4 linked regions of the Callithrix jacchus genome follow. The protein of the gene in region 3 purifies or fractionates together with the protein of the main gene of each other region. This does not show direct contact. Links are inferred from orthologs where the notes say so. Each region holds a gene or a part of one and is shown on either strand. Other genes may lie near its edges. The genes, in order: USP46, USP1, PHLPP2 and USP12.

Region 1 (3,567 bases), on a different chromosome or scaffold from region 3:
GAAATGTGGTCTGAGCCAGTGGGCAGGAGCACTGGAATACTGAGAAGGGAAAACCAGCCCCCGTTCAGCTTTGGCTGTTTCAGCCAAGCAAGTGGTTCCTAATTACTGGATTTCTCTTTGATTCATATTTTTATTTTCCCTGTCGTGGGAGTTTTGGTGTGTTGCAATGTGCATCTTTTATTTAGCCAGCTGTTTTCCTGGGTCTCCACATTATGTAGATTTTTTTTTCTTTCTCTTTTTTTAAGCACCAGCAGGTCTCATTAGACTCTTTATTGAGACAGAGTGCTTATTATCATTTTAGAGACTTTGATGGGCTAGAGAAGCACCAGAATGATGTGCATTTTTCTTCACTTCTCTCTTGATCAGATGGCCACTAGTGTTTAGAGTAGTTAACTAGTTTTCTAATATGGTGAGCTGGACTCAATACAGGGACAGCTGGGCCAGTTCCTAGAGCAGGGACCTGCTCACCCTCACTACTTATTCCAGAGGTGGCTCATCCCCAGGCGATGACTTGAACCATCCCTTTTGTCCCTTGGCAGTTTGGAAACACATGCTACTGTAACTCCGTGCTTCAGGCGTTGTACTTCTGCCGGCCGTTCCGGGAGAATGTCTTGGCATACAAGGCCCAGCAAAAGAAGAAGGAAAACTTGCTGACGTGCCTGGCGGACCTTTTCCACAGCATTGCCACGCAGAAGAAGAAGGTTGGCGTCATCCCACCAAAGAAGTTCATTTCAAGGCTGAGAAAAGAGAATGGTGAGTAGTATGCATTATAATGCGTTTAAGGCTCTGAAATAAAGAGAATTGACGGTTCTACTCCTCAAAAGCACAAGCTGGGATTTTTTTGAAAAGGGAAAATAAGCATGGTCAATTACTCAGTGTTATTTTTTAAGAAACAACATTCTTCTCTACCCAGTAGACATAAAACAAAACTGGATTAGAAACACGCTTAAACATGCACAATTATCATCCCAGTTTAGAATGACTTTTTATTTGCTCCATTCTGGGCAGGATCATTGTAAGAGAAAAGAGTGTCCAAGGCAGCCTTCCGAGTGGGATACTCATTGTGATAATTGAATAAAATAGTACTGGCTTAAAAGCTTATCATAAGTGATTAAAATAAGTGCCTATTATCTAATCAGAGCTTCTGCTGTTTTAAATATAATGCCTGATTTTCATTTGCCTAAGGTAATTGAAGGATATCAAATTGATTGCTTTATGTGATTTTTCAAAGTCCGGATTTTCCTCGTTTTTCTATCTTAGCTTTTAGGGGATTGTTGGGAGAAACTAGGTGTGTATTCCAGAAGTTTTGTATGAGCAATTTTTATGACTATAAAAGTATTTGTTACGGCAATTACTATTTACTTATATCCACCCTTACTCCATCAGATGTGCCTGGTTAATCAGGTATTTGTTTTATAAAGTGTTGTTTAACTTGATTGCTGTCTTTTGAAGTTACAGTTTATACATATCAGAATAAAAATTAATTTGAGTGGAGAAGGAAGCAGAGCACTCTGTCTAGTTGTGAACATGATTAATAATGAAGGTTCACAGCTGCATTCATCTCTTGATTGTTTGTCCTTATGGCAGGGAGCAGCAGTAGGCTTCTGGAATCATTCGTATTCAGTTTCAGAACATTATCAGATAGATGCCTGCTCACACATATCCCTCATCTCCCATCTGTGTTTCATCTAAGCTGCTTCCAGGCTGGTCCAGGGTTTAATATGGTCTTTGAAAAGAGACCCCAGTTGCTCTGAATAAATTACTCAATGAATAATTAATTGATCATTGGTGAATACATCATATTAAAAATTGGTATTTTATCAGGGAACTTGTCTGGTAACTTCTGTTCTTTTGTAGAACAAATAAAACTTGGTAGTTTTATATAAATGTGATGACTCCAGGGAGATATGGCAAATTTGTTCTTGATGGGTGGCAGAAAATGGAAATACATTTAAAAATTATTTGGAAGCTTACTCATTGAAGCTGCCTGGTAGAGTATATTTATATTCCATGCCTTTCAGTATAAAAATTGAAGTATGGGCTGGGCACGGTGGCTCAAGCCTATAATCCCAGCACTTTGAAAGGCTGAAGTGGGTGGATCCTGAGGTCAAGAGATGGAGCCCATTCTGGCCAACATTGTGAAACCCCGTCTCTACTAAAAATACAAAAATTAGCTGTAGGTGGTGGTGTGTGCCTGTAATCCCAGCTACTCAAGAGGCTGAGGCAGGAGAATCCCTTGAACCCGGGAGGCAGAGGTTGCAGTGAGCCAAGATCACACCACTGCACTGCAGCCTGGCGACAGTGCAGTGTGAGACTCTGTCGCCAGACTCCGTCTCAAAAAGAAAAAAAATTGAAGTCTGGCATGTAACATTTGAGTAGATCCATTTGCTTTTTAAGAACCAAAGACTGAAATAACTACCTTCTCCTTTCCAGATCTCTTTGATAACTACATGCAGCAGGATGCTCATGAATTTTTAAATTATTTGCTAAACACTATTGCGGACATCCTGCAGGAGGAGAAGAAACAGGAAAAACAAAACGGAAAATTAAAAAATGGCAACATGAACGAACCTGCGGAAAATAACAAACCAGAACTCACCTGGGTCCATGAGATTTTTCAGGGAACACTCACCAATGAAACTCGATGCTTGAACTGTGAAACTGTAAGTGCTAGGGGAGCTCTCATGTAACTCACATGTTCATATTCAGGTAGGCTGTGTTGCATGTGATTGCAATGTGGTATTAGAGCATTTAGCAGTTATTTGCAGTGTATGTAAATGATCCTGTTTGTGCATGTGAAACTCAAGGGCAAACTTTTGGAAGCATATATCCATCCAAGATGTCTCAGCAGGCTGAAGCTGAGTAATGAAGGAAAATCTCCTCATATGCTGAATTGTTTTGCACCATGGGCAAATTTTGGGGTCTGCAGATTTACCTATTGAACTGTATGTCAACCAGTTATCTTGCAATTTGGTCATAGGGAGGTCATGTGTGGTGTAGAATGGGACCATCACCTCAGTTCAGAGGCAGTTAGCTGTGGTATGTTGAAGTCAGAAGACAGGCTACACTCCTGTTTCTGTAGCAGTTAACTGGGTATTTGGGGCAAGTTACTTACAGCACTCTTGAGGGTTGAATGAGCTTATGTGTTTGGATGGGTCTGGCACGTGGTAGGCACTTAATGTTAATTGAATTTGAAGACATGTTCTCCAAAGCATGATTCAGGATGTCATATTTGCTTGGCATGTTTAACTTCAACCCTGTGGGTGGCCTCATATTTTGCTGCTTAAGAGCTGAGCCCTGGAGCCAGGCTGCCCAAGTTTGTATGCTGGCTTTTCCACTTAATAGCTAGTGGATCTTGAGCAAATTATTAATTTTCTCTCTCCTCACTTTCCTCATCAATAAAATGAGGATGATGGGAGTGCCCATCTTGGAGGGTTGGTGGTAGGATTAAATGAGTTGACACCTAGAGCCATGCTTGGCACCTGGCAAGTAGGCAGTAAATGCCAGCTACTATTATTTATTATAACTACTGCTGACAACAGAGAAAGTCTGGGTTCATTGGGGATC
Region 2 (3,567 bases), on a different chromosome or scaffold from region 3:
AGGTGGGAGGATTGCTTGAGCCCAGGAGGTTGAGGCTGCAGTGAGCCTCGATCAAGCCATTGCACACTCCAGCCTGGGCAACAGAGACTCTGTCTCAAAATAAAAAAAAAATAAGGTTGATTTGTCTATCCCATAAAATTAGTGCTATAATGCAACTTAGAAAAGCTAGTAAAGTGAGACAAAGACAAATGAAGAAGGCACTTAATTTGTTCACAAATAAAATTATTGGTTTGTGTGTTTCTTTCTTGACAGGGAAATTGCAAAGAAGATTCTTTGGCAAGTTATGAATTGATATGCAGTTTACAGTCCTTAATCATTTCGGTTGAACAGCTCCAGGCTAGTTTCCTCTTAAATCCAGAGAAATACACTGATGAACTTGCCACTCAGCCACGGCGACTGCTTAACACACTCAGGTATAGCCTATGATATAATTTTAGGGTTTCAATTTAGCTACTTGTTTATATCCTTGGAGGAGAATGATATGTGAACAAACAGAAATAAAGGGCAAGGAAAGTAAGAAACTCTAGGTCCACAGTCCTTTATATCCCAGAGGCTCTGAATACTGGAATTTTTTTTCATAAATTTGGTGCTAAATTCGTTAGATCTGAATATATTAGGCTTTTTATAGTCATTATTCATATTTATCTCTAATGTGAATATTCATACATCCTTCTATAGAAATAGGATCATGTTTAATTATAGAGTACTACCATATCATGTTGGTGATAAATATTTTACTTATACGTCGTATTATCTTTGAATCTGAAAATGTCTGAATTTCTAAATGCATGGTCCTCAGATTAGGAGTTATAGAACTATATTCAAAATATGTGTAAGAACCGTAAGTTCCAAATAATGTATTTTTGTTAATATGTGATTAGAGGAGAACTATTGGATAACTGGATTAGATTGCTTTTTGTTATTTTCTTAAAAATGAAACTTTATATATATAAAATAGCCTTATTCAAATAAAGTTATACTAATAGGGCAAGTCTTTAAAACAATCACTTAAGCATTTAGTTTAGAAATAGAACTAGGTGCAGTGTATTGCTACACCTTAGTTAAGAGGTATTGTAGGCTGGGCATAGTGGCTCACACCTGTCCCAGCACTTTGGGAGGCTGAAGTGGGTGGGTCATTTGAGGTCAGGAGTTCGAGACCAGTCTGGCCAACATGGTGAAAACCCACCTCTACTAAAAATAGAAAAATTGGCTGGGCATGGTGGTTCACACCTAAAGTCCCAGCTTCTTGGGAGGCTGAGGCAGGAGAATTGTTTGAACCCAGGAGGTGGAAGTTGCGGTGAGCCAGATTGCAACACTACAGTCCAGCCTGGGAGACAGAGCAAGTCTCCTGTCTCCAAAATAAAAAAGTATTATAACATGGTAACCAAGAGTGGGGTTTGACTACTGGCTTTTCATCCTAACTAGTTCTGTGACCTTGGGCAAGTTATTTAACCGCTGTGTGCCTCAGTGGCTATATCTATCTGACAATAGTGGTGGTGTAATAGTCCCTTATAGGGTACTATTGCTATTATGAAGATAATGTATATGTAGGAGATAAAGCATTTTGACTAAGACCTTGTATATGGTAAGCACTGTTAGTTATTAATATGTTTAGAAGAGGATCAAGTATATTAAATACATTATAAAATATATAAATATATTAAATATATTAATATATTTGGAAGAGGTTCAAAGTATTATAATGAAAAACAGATAAAATTTACTCTTTTAGTTTCAGGTAAGAAATTTCAAATTAGTGCTGAATGAGATTTAAAAATTAAATAATTTACAATATTCCTTACATGAATTCATTCCTATGTAGAAATAGTTTTATGTACTATATCTTTAAAACTAGAATAGATGAAATGGAAATTTTTATTTATAGGGAACTCAACCCTATGTATGAAGGATATCTACAGCATGATGCACAGGAAGTATTACAGTGTATTTTGGGAAACATTCAAGAAACATGCCAACTCCTAAAAAAAGAAGAAGTAAAAAATGTGGCAGAATTATCTACTAAGGTAGAAGAAATACCTCATCAGAAAGAGGAAATGAGTGGTATTAACAGCATGGAGATGGACAGTATGAGGCATTCTGAAGACTTTAAAGAAAAACTCCCAAAAGGAAATGGGAAAAGAAAAAGCGACACAGAATTTGGTAGCATGAAGAAAAAAGTTAAAGTATCCAAGGAACACCAGTCATTGGAAGAGAACCAGAGACAAACTAGATCAAAAAGAAAAGCTACAAGTGATACATTAGAGATTCCTCCTAAAGTAATTCCCAAGTATATTTCCGAAAATGAGAGTGCAAGAGCTTCACAAAAGAAATCAAGAGTTAAAATTAATTGGTTAAAGTCTGCAAATAAGCAACCCAGCATTCTTTCTAAATTCTGTAGTCTGGGAAAAATAACAACAAACCAAGGAGCTAAAGGACAATCTAAAGAAAATGAATATGATCCTGAAGAGGACTTGGGGAAGTGTGAAAGTGATAACACAGCTAATGGACTTGAATCTCCAGAAAATACTGTTATACCTGTAAATGTTAATGAAGTTAAACCCATAAACAAAGGTTAGTATAATTCTTAGACTTTGATAGGTAGGAGCATTAACAGCTATAGAATTAGAATTTTCTCTTCTTAGATACATATATAATATAATCTATGCATAAAATTGTTTCAAGAGAAGGAAATTTAACACTGAATGTGAACTATGGTGTTCTAAGTGCTATGCTTAAATTAGTGTGTGTGTGTATATATATATAATGTCATGAAAGTAATTTTAACTTACAGTTTATAAAGTAGGGAAGTTCAGCTGGGCCACGGTAGCTCACACCTGTAATCCCAGCACTTTGGGAGGCTGAGGCAGGTGGATCACCTGAGGTCAGGAGTTCAAGACTAGCCTGGTCAACATGGCGAAACCCCATCTCTACTAAGAATACAAAAATTAGCCAGGCATGGTGCATGCCTGTAGTCCCAGCTACTCAGGAGGCTGAGGCAGGAGAATGAGGCCGAGGTTGCAGTGAGTCAAGATTGTGCCACTGCACGGTAGCCTGGGTGACAGAGCAAGACTCTGTCTCAAAATAAAAAAGTAGGGAAGTTCAGTATATCTTAACGTACATTTAAAAGTACATTTCCCTTTATGCAGTGTTTGATGTAAACTCATGAAGGACATTGTATTCAGTGAAATATTTAAAGTAGAGACGAAGTACAGTCATGTTGCTTAACAACGGGGATATGTCTTGAGAAATGTGCTGTTTCATTGTGCGAATGTCACAGTTTACTTATACAACTAGACGGTAGAGCATACTACACAACTAGCCTATGTGGTATAGACCAGGGGTGTCTAATCTTTTGGCTTCCTTGGGCCACATAGGAAGAAGTGTCTTGGGCCACACACAAAATATACTAATGGTAGCTGATGAGCAAAAAAAAAAAAAAAATCACAAAAAAGTCTCATAGTGTTTTAAGAAAGTTTATGAATTTGTTATGGGCTGCAGGCAAGCTTTGAATGGCCTATTGCTGTTAGGTAACCTGTACATCATATAACTATAGTGAATACTGTAGGC
Region 3 (3,567 bases):
CAGAGTTTCTGATTCAGTGGGTAAGAGGCTGGTTCAATAAACTGCATTCCAAGAAATTTCTGGTGATGCTGAGGCTGCTGGTCCTACAACAACACTTTGAGAACCATTCACTTAGGCTATAAGTTCCTTGAGGGAAGGCCCACGAGTCTTAAATTTTCCCCTGCATGCAGGGCATCCATGTGCCTGTACTTGGAAACAATCCTAAGAAACTGGCAGAAAGACCTAGTTTCAATCCCAGCTCTGCCACTTCCTGGCTACAGACCCTCAGCAAGTGATTTCTCCTAGAAATTTCTCTGATAAAACATATAGTATGAAAAATACTTACTACAGCTCCTGGCTCAAGAGTTGTTTCATAAATTGAGTTCCCTTCCCTAAACCCTTTATTTTATGAAGTCTCTAGCTCAATTCTACTACTGAAAAAAACTCCTTCCTAACGCTTTGCTTTGTGTTATGACAGATAAAACTAGTTCAAGATCCAGGCTGTTCCATTTCAACCTGAACTATACAACTTAACAACCTCTCAGTTATTCATACCCTTTATCAGTCCACCTGATATGCAAATGCTCCATTACAGTTAGGTTATATAGATATCCTCAACTTACAATGGTTCAACTTAAGGTTTTTTGACTTCACAATGATGAAAAGCAATACTGCAGGCATTTAGTAGAAACTGTACTTTGAATTTTGATCTTTTCCTGGGCTAGTGACATGTGGTATGATCTTCTCTCATGATGCTGGGCAGAGGTAGCGAGCCACAGCTACCAGCCAGCCACTTGATCACAAGGCTAAACAATTAATACAGTGCCCTGTGCACCAGATGATTTTGCCAAACTATAAGCTAATGGGGTAAGTGTTCTGAGAACATTTAATGTAGGCTAGGTGAAGCCATGATGTTTGGTTGGGTAGGTATATTAAATGAAGTTTCCACTTACCGTATTTTCAACTTACGATGGGTTTATCAAGATGTAACCCTATTGTAAGTTGAGGAGCATCTGCATAGAGTTTTTGCCCTTAAGTGGTTTAGACTTTACTTAGACTAGTTGGGTAAAACCCCAGAAACAGGGATTCTAAGCATATGAATCTGAGGAGTTTTTGGCTAACCTTTTGTAGGTCACTGACTCCTTGGACAATCTTATGAAAGCTGAGCACCTTCCTCCTCAAAATGTACAGCCACATATATATATACACACACAACCTTTTGCATATAAATTCTGGGCTCCCAGATCCTCAGCAGCCTTTGGATTCAACAGAAAAAAACAGATGAAGTCACAGGCTTTTTAAAGAGCCAAAGCCCCACACTCCATTCTGATATAGAGAATGATAATAGAAGACAACAATGTTGAGTTCTCTCCTTGATCCTGTAACCGTAATTTAGACCCTGACCTTCTGGTTTAGAAAGATACATTTTCTTGGAAATGTCTGCTAACCAACATCTGGTAAATAAAAATAAATAAATAAGATATATTTTCTAAAAGTAGAACTGAGTTAGGGATTATTCAACCCACCTGCTTACCTGTGAGATACCAAGAAGGTGTTAACCATGAAAACTGTGTCATTAGTTGACTGCTGCACCTCTTCTAAAAGCACATCTGCCATTGTACACTGGAGCAGGCGTGGGAGCTCCTCATTTCGATCCCCATCAAACATGCCATACACAGCTCCCACCCCTTCTGCAAAGTTATCCATTGCAAGCGCTGAGACACACAGCCTATAACAGAAATATGAGAAACACAATCATCAAAAAAAGTTACTGGTAAAGTATTATTCTTTAGGGACCATTCTTTTAAAAAGTAAGTATTAATTAAAGGTGGAGAGGACCAGTAGCAAATTGTAATCTACACATAAAAAGTCCTTAGACATGATAATTAAGCAACATCTGAAAGAGCTAATGTCCCAAGGAAAGGGGAAACAGCCACATTCACCGGCAGTACATATCAGCTTTGCAATGCTGCGGAAGGCTGGTAAGATAAAACACTTTCTCTTAGTGGCAACTAAGGATTAGTTTTGTCAAGGCTCATCAGCCAAAGATCACCAGAGCACACCTATGGTTGAAAAAGCTGCGTTTATTACTCGTTATAGCAAATGAATATGCACCCCATGGACCCTGGGGTATACAGATAAGGAGTGCTGAAAAGAACCAACTAGAGGGTTTGAACTTTGGCTGGGGAGGGTATAAGGAAGAGGATCACACTAGACTAGGTGTCATCAGAAAGTGGGGCCATTCTATGGCTGGGTATAAATCTTATCTATAGGGAAAGAAAATTAGCAGAAGGATAAAGCTGTAACCAGTAAAGAAAGTAGCATCTACCCATCTTAGCCATGAAAGGGGGTTTTTGGTATTTTGTTGACTATATATTTGTGTTGTTTTTGTCTTAAAACTTTATCATGGTCTCAAAAGGATCTTATCTGACACTGATGTTCTATGACTTTTGTACAACAGAATAACATGGCCTAGCTATTATGAGCATCAGACCAGTTCTCAGATGCCAGGGGCTGCCATTTTTTCTTTCTCAGTCTCCATGGCTAATATACTCACTTATTTCTCTGCCCTGTCATCTCAGCCAGTCCGTGGCTCCAGAAGGTTGATGTAACTGTAGAATCTGTGGTTGGCAAAGGTTTCTGATCAATTTTCAGGGTTGTGATATGGCTGTGGGAGGTGAGGGAAGATTAAACAATATGCTCAACTGTTTTTTACAAAAACTATCCCAACAATTTTTTTTTTTTTTTTTTTGAGACCAAGTCTCCCTCTTGTCACCCAGGCTGGAGTGCAGTTGTATGATCTCTGCTCACTGCAACTTCCACCTCTCAGGTTCAAGCAATTCTCCTGCCTCAGCCTCCCGAGCAGCTGACATTACAGGCATGCGCTACCACACCCAGCTAATTTTTGTATTTCTTTCTTTCTTTTTTTGAGACAAAGTCTCCCTCTGTCGCCTAGGCTAGAATGCAGTAGTGCGATCTCGGCTTACTACAACCTTCACATCCTAGGTTCAAGCGACACACCTGCCTCAGCCTCCTGAGTAGCTGGGATTACAGGTGCCTGCCGCCATGCCCAGCTAACTTTTATATTTTTAGTAGAGGCAGGGTTTCACCATGATGACGAGGCTGGTCTCAAACTCCTGACCTCAAATGATCCACCTGCCTGGGCCTCCCAAAGTGCTGGGATTACAGGGGTGAGCCACCACGCCTGGCTTATTTTGTATTTTTAATAGAGATGGGAGTTGCGCCATGTTGACCAGGCTGGTCTTGAACTCTTAACCGCAAGTGATCACCCACCTTAGCCACCCAAAGTGCTGGGATTACAGGCGTGAGCCACTGCACCTGGCCAACAATAACGTATCTTTTAATAAAATAATCTATGGACAGACTAAAATGCATTTCTAGAGAGATGGATGAAAGTAGTATGCTGAACTACTGGCAAAGGAGGAGGGGAGAGAAAGGAAATGGGTAGAAGGAACAAAGGAGTAGGAGTTTCAATCAAAAACTAAGCACGGCAAAGATTTCTAAGTTTTAGTCAACCATCTATTTCTTTAACTACTTTGATACAATGAAGTCTTGGTACAATGGATG
Region 4 (4,140 bases), on a different chromosome or scaffold from region 3:
GCTTCACCCGGCATTCCAGGAGATAGGAAGGACTTTTAACACTTTTATACTGAATGCAGAACTTAGTACTCCAGATCAAACTGTAGAAGTAAATGTAAATGATAGTCTGATAGTTCTTCCCCTTCAAGGCCCTCACAACTGAGTAAGAGTTCAAAGAAAAATATACTACACAGTTTAAATATGATAGGTGCTACTGACATTTCAAAAATGGCATGAAGTTGTATGAGGGGGATGGAGGGTTGGGTTGGAGAGGGGTAGGATTATTCAAGTAAAGCTCCCTGCTTAAGAGGTACACATCCTCGCAATACAAGGATGGGGGGTAGGGCAGAGGAAGCATTCCAAGCCTAGCAAAACGGCACCTACAAAGCTAAAGAGGTATCTTTGTTTTTCAATTTTGTGATTCTCAAGAGGACAGATAGCATTTTCTTTAAAGAATAAGACTGCAAACTACTTTGAGATATTTAGCACTATTTGAGGGTACATTAGAATGTATTCAAATACGAATAAAGACACACCCAATTTTAATAGTACCTTTTGAACAATCTCGTTCGGCCAGGCACTTTCAGTATTTGCCAACAATACACACACCCCACCTGTAATTAATGCATCTGGGTGGAAGCCCTAGAAAGAGCTCCCGATTCTGATCTTGGAGATCAGAATCCCACTTACTAAGTGTGCGACGCTGGCAAATCCCTGTGTCTCACTGTCCTAATGTGATTACAGCACATATTTATTAATATATTAATTTAAATACAGTTTGTGTCCATGAAGAACGTAAACACCATGAAAGCCGGGGCTATCCTGACCACTACAGCATCCCCAGCACTCAGCCCCACCTCTAGCACCTAGTAGCTGCTAAACGTAGATGTACAGTACCTGAGTGAATGAATAAGAGTATCACACCACTCCTGAAATCCCATTCTTTGACAGTGAACTATGATCATTACAATGTGTGTAGATCAGCAATCTGGTATCACTGTAAAAGACCTAATTATCGCATTCTTTTGAAACTGAGTAAGATAATAATTGGCGTATCTGAAAATAATTAGCCCAAACAATTCTTGAAAATCACTTTAAAATAGTCCATTTAATACCAATGCCTTCCTAAAACGTAAACTTTGAGAAAGAACCACCATCCAGTTGGGAAATGGAGTCTTCAATATGATTTCTTAAATATTGTCGATTTTATGTCCAGCTGATTTCAGCCATTTTTTGTACTGTTCCTCAGCATGCAGTAGAGAATCTGCTTTTAAAGCATCTTTCCGATCAGATTCACCACTCCTCAAAGAAAAATATACACAATGGACCATCCTTAGATGGAAAATTGCTTGAGGCTCTCCTATATGAAATCGGTTGCATAAATAGGGCCAGTGAGGCATCAAACACAAGCTTTCAGAAGTCTTTAATAACAACCAATAGGTCCACGTTGCAAAGAACAACTTTTTTCGGTGATGACTCATAAATTATGATCCCTACATATAAGCTCATGAGGCGCTAATGAAACGAATTTGTCTCATCATGTGGAAAACTGTGGTCCTTCTGGCCAAGCACAAAACACCAAGTTTTAAACGCGCCCACGTTTTGCTTAATTCGGGACTTCCAGCGAGGATTAGCGCTTTTCCTTTATAGTCTATTTAAGCGCCCTAAGAAAACAAATATCATCGCATTGGCAGGCGGTCCCCGCACACAGACAGACGTAGCTTCACCACATACAGATGTGTCTGGTGGGCCGAAGTAAACAAATGACAGGAAAGCTAATGCTTTTAAAGATTAACGTGCATTCCCACAGACAAGACTGCCACCTGGACACACGGCTGGAAACGAGAGCTCGTGCCTCTCCGAAGAGAAAAATGGAGAGAATTTCAACAACACTTATTTAAAGTTTCCATCTTTACATACGCCCCTTTCCGCCAGCGCGGGGTCGGGGACTCGGCCCGGCCAGCGGCGCGAGGAAATCTGCACTTGACTTCCGTCCTCTCCCTGGCGGGAAAGAGCGCAGCCCGCCCCGGCAGAGACCCTTCCTTCCTGCCCGCCGACCCCCACCCCGCCCGGGGACACCTCCCTCTCGGCGCGCGGCCAGGAGGAAATGGAGCCCTCGCGGCTCCGCAGCTCCTCGCCCCCTCCTCGGCGACCCTGGCCCAGGGCCGCGCTCGGGCTCCTGCGCGCCCACCCGCTGCCCCGCCACAGGCCAGGCGCGCTTCGGCCCTTGGCCCGGCGCGGACACCAGCAGTTCGGTCGGGGACTCCCGGAGGCCAGTGCCCACCCCTCGCCGCGTCCCGCACCGTGGGCCCCTCACCGCCACCCTCGCGCAGCCCCGGCCCGCCAGGCGGCGCCCCCTCCCCGGACGCCTGGGCCGCTCACCCCCGCGCTCCCCGCCCGAGCGCCGTCCGACCGCCCCCACCCGGGCCGCCCGCACGCCCGCCCCCGCGCTAGGCCCCGCGAGCGGCCACAGGGAGAAACGGGTCCAGCGCCGTCCGCCCGCCCGAGAGGTCCCGGCTGCCCCTGCCGCCCGCCCGCTGCACCTACCATGGTACAGATGGAGGCGAATTTGGAGACTGTCATTAGGATTTCCATCCGCCCAGCGCCATCTTCCACCCAATCACAGCGGCGGCGGCGGGCGGGGGATGAGGGGAGCCGGGCCGCCCGCTCGCACTGCAGCCCGCGGGCGGACCCCGAGCCGCAGCGGACCCACGCACCGAGCCCGCTGGGCCGCCGCTGCCGTCGTCGCCGCCGGCGCTCAGGCACTCCCGGCCTCGGGCCCCAGCCCCCCGCCTGCCGGCCGCCGGCCCGCCCCCGGCTCCGCCCCGGCGCAGGGCGCAGCCGCTGCCTCCGGGCCCGCGCCTGCCCGCGAAGCCGCCCGCCGCCCACCCCGCCCAGCGCGCAGGGGAGCGGACTCCGCTGAGGCCCTAATGCCCGGCCTGCCAGGCAGCAGCGCGGCCCGGCGGCGCAGCCCCGCCCACCCCTCGGCGCCCCCCTCGGCGGCCCGGGAGCGCGAGCCAAGGAACTCCTGCCCGGCCCCACCCCGCGCGAGGCCGAGGGCGGGACCGAGGGCGGGCACTGTCTTTTGCCTGCGTCCCTGCGGTCCTAGTGCCGGGCGCCCGAGCCCCCTCGTAGGAAGAGGGGCGGCGAGGAGTCGCGGGGGCGGCTGCGGCGACCTGGGAGAACCCGGGAGGGGCCAGACTGCGACACCCACCGCGGGCGAGGCTATAGTGATCTCCCGCTGCCTAAACAGAAAACGGAGGCGATGATCTGGGTAACTTCGTGCGGAGTGGGAGGAAACATGCTCTGCACAGTTAAGATAACCCAGGTATGCGTCCCAAGAACTTGGTTTCTTTTTCCGTGTATTGGATGAATTCCTGGAGTCAAACACAACTTAGAAAAAGACAAAATAATCAAATAAAAATGAAGCGGCAAAGAACAAATTACACGTTTAACTCTTTGAATTAAGAAGAAAGATAAGTAATGGGGGAAGTGGGGAGAGCAACGAATCCTGTCGGCCTGTTGCCCATAAATTTAGAATAGGTTTCTAAATATCTGCACATTGTGCTACAGAATAGAGAAGATCTCAAGCCAGCAGTGATGATGATATTACCAGAAACAAGAAGCCCGCAAGCAAGAAAAATGCCCTGTGAGAAATCCTCAGGCAGTGCTGGCTACTGGCATGGGTAGTTCCTCTTTTCTCCTCTTATAAAATTCATCATTGCACCCAGTTCATCGTGTCTGGCAGCTCAGCTTTATTTTTTCCTATTTGAGAAAGTAGTTCAAGTGAGTGGAATAGCTTCATAAATTATGATGTTAAAAAGCTCTTTTTTTTTGAGACACAGTCTCTGTCGCCCAGGCTGGAGTGCAATGGCGTGTTCCTGGCTCACCGCAACCCCTGCCTCCCAGGTTCAAGCGTTTCTCCTGCCTTACCCTCCCCAGTAGCTGGGGTTACAGGCGTGTGGCACCACGTCGGGCTAATTTTTGTATTTTTTTAGTAGAGACGGGGTTTCACCATGTTGGTCAGGCTGGTCATGAACTCCTGACCTCGTGATCCGCCCGCTTCGGCCTCCCAAAGTGCTGGGATTACAGGCTTGAGCCACCGCGCCCGACCCGTGATATTTTCTAATTGCTGAAGTGATGGGGTACTTTTCTGGGTTC

The links.
Region 1: the proteins of PHLPP2 (region 3) and USP46 purify together in Homo sapiens (affinity purification with mass spectrometry; 4 studies listed by BioGRID and IntAct, counting the BioPlex papers as one, with this or other methods). This does not show direct contact. The link is inferred for Callithrix jacchus from reciprocal best matches to the Homo sapiens genes PHLPP2 and USP46.
Region 2: the proteins of PHLPP2 (region 3) and USP1 purify together in Homo sapiens (affinity purification with mass spectrometry; 3 studies listed by BioGRID and IntAct, with this or other methods). This does not show direct contact. The link is inferred for Callithrix jacchus from reciprocal best matches to the Homo sapiens genes PHLPP2 and USP1.
Region 4: the proteins of PHLPP2 (region 3) and USP12 purify together in Homo sapiens (affinity purification with mass spectrometry; 3 studies listed by BioGRID and IntAct, with this or other methods). This does not show direct contact. The link is inferred for Callithrix jacchus from reciprocal best matches to the Homo sapiens genes PHLPP2 and USP12.

The regions. Positions count from the first base shown.
Region 1 is NC_133504.1:143,992,189-143,995,755, forward strand, and holds part of USP46 (ubiquitin carboxyl-terminal hydrolase 46), read left to right. Parts: intron 1-539; coding exon 540-753; intron 754-2,433; coding exon 2,434-2,663; intron 2,664-3,567. UniProt on the Homo sapiens protein: Deubiquitinating enzyme that plays a role in behavior, possibly by regulating GABA action. May act by mediating the deubiquitination of GAD1/GAD67.
Region 2 is NC_133508.1:99,537,343-99,540,909, forward strand, and holds part of USP1 (ubiquitin carboxyl-terminal hydrolase 1), read left to right. Parts: intron 1-252; coding exon 253-413; intron 414-1,885; coding exon 1,886-2,571; intron 2,572-3,567. UniProt on the Homo sapiens protein: Negative regulator of DNA damage repair which specifically deubiquitinates monoubiquitinated FANCD2. Also involved in PCNA-mediated translesion synthesis (TLS) by deubiquitinating monoubiquitinated PCNA.
Region 3 is NC_133521.1:30,249,474-30,253,040, reverse strand, and holds part of PHLPP2 (PH domain leucine-rich repeat-containing protein phosphatase 2), read right to left. Parts: intron 2,648-3,567; coding exon 2,537-2,647; intron 1,709-2,536; coding exon 1,514-1,708; intron 1-1,513. UniProt on the Homo sapiens protein: Protein phosphatase involved in regulation of Akt and PKC signaling.
Region 4 is NC_133506.1:146,334,796-146,338,935, forward strand, and holds the start of USP12 (ubiquitin carboxyl-terminal hydrolase 12), read right to left. Parts: upstream 2,802-4,140; 5' UTR 2,575-2,801; coding exon 2,527-2,574; intron 1-2,526. UniProt on the Homo sapiens protein: Deubiquitinating enzyme that plays various roles in the regulation of the immune response and inflammation.